Linked DNA regions of Caenorhabditis elegans. The protein of the gene in region 2 purifies or fractionates together with the protein of the main gene of each other region. This does not show direct contact. Each region holds a gene or a part of one and is shown on either strand. Other genes may lie near its edges.

Region 1 (3,670 bases), on a different chromosome or scaffold from region 2:
ATTAGAAGTACCATTTTTCTATTTATTGTATAATTTACAGTGACGATACAACTCGTGATTGGATTCTCGAAGAAGTTCCAATAGAGACTCTCATTCGACACGTTGAAAAATCAGATGAACGAATTGCTCTTTGTGCACTTTCACTAATGAATTCAATGATAAGAAGATGTCCTGATGATGAAAAACGATTTGAACTTATTAAATCTTTAGAAGTCGTTCCATTCCGTAATGCTGTACACAGTTCTCTTCTACGTGGTGGTGGTGGTGTTCGAAATCTGAATGCTATTGAACAACTTGTTGAGGTTCAAAGGAGTCTGATTAGTGCATATGAAACTTCACCTCCTACTGATGCTGAAGTTCAGAAAATTCTTGATATTGAATCCAGTGAGGATGTTTCCGAGGAGATCAGAGAAATGTGGAAATCACAAATTGGGGAACACCGATGTGGACGGTTGGCTGCAATTTCGATGGTTCAATTTGCAGAAAAAAGTCCGCAAGATCTGAGAATGCTAATTTCGGAGAATACAATGAGGATTGAAGGAGGAAAATGGCAACTGATTCCAATGTGGATGAGGTTTTTTTGCAAACGTAAAGATGTTCTGATGATTTTTTAAATTCAGGTGCTGTGACATTGCCGCAGAATTGTTCAGAGTAATACCTGGTCGTGATGAGTTGGATCGTTTGATTGTAGTTCTCTTTTCCACGGAGACTCCATTTCCAGCTGTATTCGCATGTATTGTACACCTTTTCCATCGAACATGGCGTGAGATGCAGGCAAAAGGAGGTGAAATGGAGAAAGTTGCGTGTGTTGTACTGGAACAGTTACGGCATGTGCTGAAAAGACGGGAAATACAAGATGTAGAAGAACTATCTGCGGATTTGGAGACTTTTTCGTATAGGGCAATGCAAGAAATTTGGAGAGAGGAACAATTGGGAAAGGAAAATATTCAATTACATAGTGAAGCTGTGATGTAAGTCTGAAAATTCCAATAACTTATTCGTATACATATTTTCAGACAACTAAAATCGAAATTGCGGCCAAAAATGGAGGAATTGGTTCGAATAAATCATCTAAACTATTTGAAGTTAGGCGCCGTTTTTCGAAAACCACAGAAAAGTAAATCCCTCGCAAAGCTCGCCTTCTGGCATTGGAAGCTCGATGCATCGGAGAAAATGCTCACTATAACTGGATGTGATGGTGAGAACTATGTGGAAGGTGTGCAGAGAGATGATATTCGGCAAGGTTGGGGGAATATTGAATTAGTTCTCAAATAATAAATTAATTTATTTTCAGTTTGGATCAAAGATATTGCTGATGTAACAAATAATGATGAGATTGATAGAAAAGCAAGCTCATCTCGATTCACTTCTTCTCCATCTACACAAATGTTAAGAGGGATTCGTGTACAATTAAAAACAACAAATGATATGAAAGAAGGCGAAGTTTTAATGGCATTGACATCCGATGAAACTCAATCTGTTATATGGCTTGAAGGTCTTGCTGAATTGATTGGGAGCAAGGCAGTTAAAAGGTATCTAGACATTGGTTACTGTAGTTACAGTAACCTGAAGAATAGGAAGCCCCGAAAATACCAATTGAAATATTTTCAGTGAAACCGATGCAATGGTTGAACGAATGCTGAAAATGGAGCTACGAGTTCGCCTTCTCAATGTGAAACTCACGAACCCCGAGGAGAAACCAGAAATTCCACCGATCCCTGACGATATCAAAAGCTTTATTTCAAAGTTTTAATCATATTCAAGCTTTATCATTCTTACGTGCATTTTACCATATTGAAAGGCAAAACATTTCCATGTGCATAATAAATTTTGTAATTTATGCCTATTACTGTGTATTTAACTTAATTTGAATAACGAGCCATTAACTACAGGCCACTAACAGTTTTCTGAATCTCTTGAAAACAAATTTTTGACCAACATTTTCAGATGAGTGCTATAAAAGAGGTAAAATCAGAGCTCAGGCAGTTTATGAAGACATTGCTCGGAAAAATTTCGAAAGAAGAAACTCAACGTCAAACAGAGGCGGTTTTTGAAAAAATAATTGAATCGAAATGGTTTCAAGAGAGCAAGAGATTGTCAGTTTATGTTAGTACATCGGGAGAAATACAAACTGATTCGATTATTCAAAAAGCGTTGGAAATGGGAAAAGAAGTTTTCATTCCACAGGTAAAATTTATTTTGAAACAGATGCGCAATAGATGTTAAGATGTAGGCATGTAGGTAGGCACATAGGCAGGCAGAAATAAAGCAGGTAGGCCGACAAGAAGTAGGCAGATATGAGCTATGAATAAAGGCAGGCAGGCACGTAGCCAGGCAGAACTAAGGCACTTGCGAGGTAGGCGTAAAGTAGGCCCCTAGACATGAAGGCTGTAATCGTTTGTAGTAGGCAGGCAATTAGTACCTAGGCAGATATTATATATGAATCCAGGGAGACAGGCACGTACAGCAAGTATAATTTATTGAAGTCACAAATGTAAAAATTTCAGTTCACGAAGGGCTCAACTGCAATGGATATGGTTCGAGTTCCGGATCAAACTGCTTTTGACAATCTTCCTTCAACACTTTGGGGAATCAGACAGCCAGAACCGAAATGGAAATGGCAAAGCTATCATGAAACAGGTGTGACTGCTTTTTAATAATATAACTCCAATTTATAAGTACTTACAGGACCACTGGATTTGATCCTTGCACCCGGCGTTGCCTTCTCACCATATGGACTTCGTTGTGGTCATGGAAAAGGATATTACGATCGCTTCTTCTCCACTCATCACAAACATTTTCCAGAAAACTCCCCAAAAAAGATAGGATTGGCTCTTCGTGAGCAAATTATTGGTACAATTCCTATTTCTGAAACTGATGTTGAACTTGATGAGGTTATCTATGAAGGAGAAACTATTATTTTTGATACTATTTAAGGCTTCACACTCTAAATAATATTCCCGATTGTGATATTGAGATTTTTTTTTAAATTTCTCTCGCCAATTTATAAGTGATTTTTCAGACATTCCTCAAATGGTTTTGTGATACAATTTCTTGCATTTGTTAACTGAATAAACTTTTTTGAACTACAGTTATATATAATTTTTTCATAGATTATTCAGTCATTAGTTAGAAGCATTCTAGCCTTCCGAGGTGTTTCAATTTTAGGTCCCACCACGAAAACTTGTGGAGATGTTCTGAAATGCCCCATAGAACTGCATAGCATTGTCCCAAAAGCCTGTAAATATATCTGAAAACTTGCTCACACAAAACGAAAGGATTCAAAGGCCTGAAGACATTAATTAGCAAAAATTAGATACATTCAATGGTTTCACTAATATCACACAGTTCAGATAGACCGAGATGAGGACTGATGTAGTTAAATCGATATATGATAGAAGCCCTGTAATTTACATGAAGAGCAACTACACGAAACTGAACAAAAATATTCATTTAAAGTCAATACATAGTAATCATTGTTCACTCTCAAACTTGTTGAACACGAGGTCAATTTTGGTCTCCCGATCCGCACTGCAAATATTATTATTTCAAAAAGGTTATCATGATCAACATACCTTTGCTTTTTCTCCCTTGCTTGACGAGTGGTCACTCTGACTTCGAATCCCTGGAAAGCTTGAAAGGTGGAACATTATCATATATCATATACTCT
Region 2 (3,756 bases):
CTCGACAATGGTGTCCGTCCACCGGCAGAATGAGAAGAAGCATTTGTCGGGGAAGAGGATGTAACTAGCGTTGGTTCGGTGGGGGGAGATATTGCTTTGAGAGGAGAAAACGAAGGTTGACAAGAAGAGTTGAGCCTGAAGATAAAGAAGAACACCACATTTTTGTTTGATTGTCACATCCGACCGGACTACTACTTTTTTGCGTAATTTTTAGATTGTATGATTTTCTCTAATTTCACCTCTATCGAATTGCACCTGACCTTTCCGACACTTGAGAGATATGTTGTTCTTATTTTCTCTTTGAAAGTCCAAAAAGTTCGAGAGATCGCATTTCACACCATGTCCCTCAAGAAATGTTTCTATTATTCTTATCCCAAAAATTTGAAACATGAAGGAGTTTTTTATATTTTAAAACATATTTTGTATATTGTTTTTAGTTAGATTAAAAAAACATATGTTGTTGCTGCAACAGTTAGAAGTTTAAGTATTTATTCTCTGTTTCATCTTTAAAACAGATACAAATTGTTACAATTTTTACGGGTCCTTCTATGTGTATTAAATAATTGTTTCCAAAAACAAACAACATTGAGGGAAATTAAGATGTAAAAAAATAAAATAGTGGAATTGTCAAATACCATATTAAGACACCTTGCCATGTTGACACTTGATATTAAGAAATATTCAACAAATTCTCCTTTTTAAGTACTATATAATTCATTATGTGTGTACTAATTAAGTCAGGAAATTTAGAAAATACTTTTATACTTGTAAAATTATGAAAAACATGAAAATATGGTGTAAACCGTTTTTTTTAAATTCAAACCTCTTCACTTTTTACGTCTTCATTTCTCGACATTTAAAATCTCTGTTTTAACTCAAAAATTCACTTAGGATTCGAACTAATTGTTAAAAAAGAAAACATTAAAAACTAAATGGAACAACGAAGATCTTTATGACACTGATACTCAAATTTTACATCCCCTCTTAAGTTTACGACCCCTCTCCTCCTTTCCACTGCTCATTTCCTCCGCAAATGTTTTCCTAGCGATGTTCGTTTTTTTTTTTCAATTCAGACGTGCTCAATTGCGAACTTCTTACTCGCGAATTAGATCGGCAATCTGATGAGTATGTTTTGCTCTGTAGATTGGCCTCGAAAAAGAAACCGCATCAACAAGAGATTGAGACAGACGGTGGCTTGTGTTATTTGCCATCGACATCAAAATCAAACGTGAGGTGGTTGCAAACTCATCTCCAATTTGCTCTTTTCTCATCAATTGTTATCAATATCCTTCCCAGACCCGTCGTCTTTTTTCTCCTTGGCCGACGACGAGTCAAAGGCAAAAAATGTGTCTTTGCTCTGTGTTTCTTGCGTGTCTTCTGTCACAGACTACTCTTCTGTGTGCTTCTTTTCGGTCTCCAACCCGCAAAAATTTCATTCATTACATCGCTTGTTGCATTTCGAGCACCTCCCGCTGGCCGCGCTCACTATCACTTGTTTCATATCACAATTTTTACATAATGTGGCTCACACCAGACACATGGCCCGCGTCATCCACCACCATCAGATAACCGCTCTTTTCCATCTTGTTAAGTTTCTCAGACGCGCAAAAAATGACTTCACTCCGTCAATTGTCTCCGTGTTCTCTCTTAAACGTTTGCTTTTTTCTAATCATATCGCAATCGCCATTACTCACAAACCACTTCCGATCCGCAATCTTCCCGTTGTCTTTCTATGAGAGATTTAGTGCTAAAAATAAATAATATTATTGATCATCTAAGAAGCTGTCAACTGGACGCATCGAGCAGTGGACGCCGGCGTGCAGTCATCTAAAGCACGATGCCGAAATCAGGCGCTCATCAGCCTCTGGTTCGACATGACACTGATGATGGTGGGGAAACAGGACAGTCCGTTAAGTCTCTAGCGGATGTTTCTGAAGAGGAAATTGATAGTCGAATGAGTAGAAGATCGTCAGTTATTGTACGTTTTCAAACTCGCTTTGTAAATTCTTGACAATTATGCAGTATTTTATAAATAAAAATTATTTAAAAAATGAATTACAATTTCGTAAAAACTAGAAGTGAAATAAACGTTTAGTTTTCATTTGTTAAGACAAAAACGTATGCTCTTGAAATTCACAGAAACAATCAAGGTGTATAAAAACTATCAATTCAAAAATTATATAGTATTGCTCTGAAGTTGTGAAAGAGTAAAAATGTTTCCAAGTCCAGATTATAACAGCTAACACTTGTTTCATATATTTAAATTAATTTGATTTTCAGGCTGATCTGCTTTCTCTTTTTCGCCGTTCCTCCAGTGTTCTTGTTCGACCACATACACGATTAGGAAATCCCAATTTTGACGAGTGAGTTTTCCAAAAAATTTATTCACTTTCCAGCATTTTGTTCAATTTTCACATTACAGTGACGATGACGAATTCGACGAAGAAGACGACAAAGAAGCTTCGAAAGATAGGATACTCAAGAAAATTCAACAAAAGAAAGAAATTATACAAAAATTACGTGGCCAGCCGTGGTATATGAAAAGAAAACGGCGGACGTTGAAGTAAGACCGCTATGAACATTTGAGCGAAACGTCAAAATCGGAAATTTCAGAGTAGCACAAAAACATCTACAACAGCAAGAAGCAAAAGTCTCGAAAGCAAGATTATACAAAGCAGAGGCTGGTCGAAGATTGACACAAGCCAGTCGATGGTTGGATAATCTCAAAATTTATTTGATACCCTGGGAAGCAAAGATTCGAAAAATTGAAAGCCACTTTGGATCAGTTGTGTCGTCATATTTTACATTTCATCGATGGGTTCTCGGAGTTAACATCACAATCACATTTATTATGTGTATGTTCGTAGTTATACCTGAGGTGAGCTTCTACAAGCTTATAAAAACTTCAACGCTTCAAAAATAGGGCCTCCAATTTTGAACTAAAGAAAAGTTTGATGTACAATAAATGCGGGAATTGTTCGCCCGGAAAAATTTGACGTCAGCACGCTTTTAATCATGCTAAATCAGTAAAGGAATTCGCGTCTAGAAGCGTCTAAATTCCAGCAGTTTTTGATGATCAAGCCAAAATAGAACATTCTGACGTGCACGAGATTTTTTAATGATGATATGTCTTGGTTTTACACCTCAGATTATAATTTTCAGTGGCTCGCCGACTCTCGAACTCAATTCGGTGATGACAGATACAATAAGACAAAGGCCATCAAAGTAATGCCACCAGCTGTTCGTGCTCGTGCCGACGAGCTATCCACAGTCTGGGACTTTGGGGTGAGTTGTAATGATAACAGATAAAACCAATGTTCAATGGTTTTTTTTTCAGGGCTACTTTCAATACTCTTTATTATTTTACGGTTTTTACTCGAAAGAAACGTTTTTCGGAGAAACAATCAAATATCGTGTTCCAGTGGCTTATTTTTTCTGCAACATTTTTATTCTAGGATTTTCACTTTTCATCATCTTGAGGAAGTGAGTTTGAAAAAAAAAAGAAAATCAGATAGAACAGAAAAAAAAACAAACTCGTCCTAATTAAAGAATGGCGGCTAACAATCGTCGTGGGACCTTATCATCAGGAAAAACGCAACAGTATTTATTCAATTGGAAAGCTTTCACAGGCTGGGATTATACTATAGGTGAGCGTTCAGTTTTTTCGAGATTAATTTTATATTCTGAAAATTTAGGTAATCCTGAAACTGCTGGAAATGTCTATATGGCAAACGTTATAAAATTTCGTGAAGCAAT

The links.
Region 1: the proteins of tmc-2 (region 2) and Y106G6E.4 fractionate together in Caenorhabditis elegans (co-fractionation; one large-scale study listed by BioGRID). This does not show direct contact.

What each region holds. Positions count from the first base shown.
Region 1 is NC_003279.8:10,221,056-10,224,725, reverse strand, and holds Y106G6E.4 (putative 5-formyltetrahydrofolate cyclo-ligase), read left to right. Parts: upstream 1-1,947; coding exon 1,948-2,187; intron 2,188-2,507; coding exon 2,508-2,640; intron 2,641-2,688; coding exon 2,689-2,936; 3' UTR 2,937-3,084; downstream 3,085-3,670. Other genes in the region: ced-12 (Cell death abnormality protein 12), read left to right, coding at 41-574, 621-971, 1,017-1,243, 1,295-1,532, 1,612-1,753. UniProt on the Caenorhabditis elegans protein: Contributes to tetrahydrofolate metabolism. Helps regulate carbon flow through the folate-dependent one-carbon metabolic network that supplies carbon for the biosynthesis of purines, thymidine and amino acids.
Region 2 is NC_003284.9:9,301,945-9,305,700, forward strand, and holds the start of tmc-2 (Transmembrane channel-like protein 2), read left to right. Parts: upstream 1-1,779; 5' UTR 1,780-1,837; coding exon 1,838-1,978; intron 1,979-2,280; coding exon 2,281-2,363; intron 2,364-2,422; coding exon 2,423-2,563; intron 2,564-2,613; coding exon 2,614-2,878; intron 2,879-3,162; coding exon 3,163-3,285; intron 3,286-3,337; coding exon 3,338-3,483; intron 3,484-3,549; coding exon 3,550-3,647; intron 3,648-3,695; coding exon 3,696-3,756. UniProt on the Caenorhabditis elegans protein: Probable ion channel.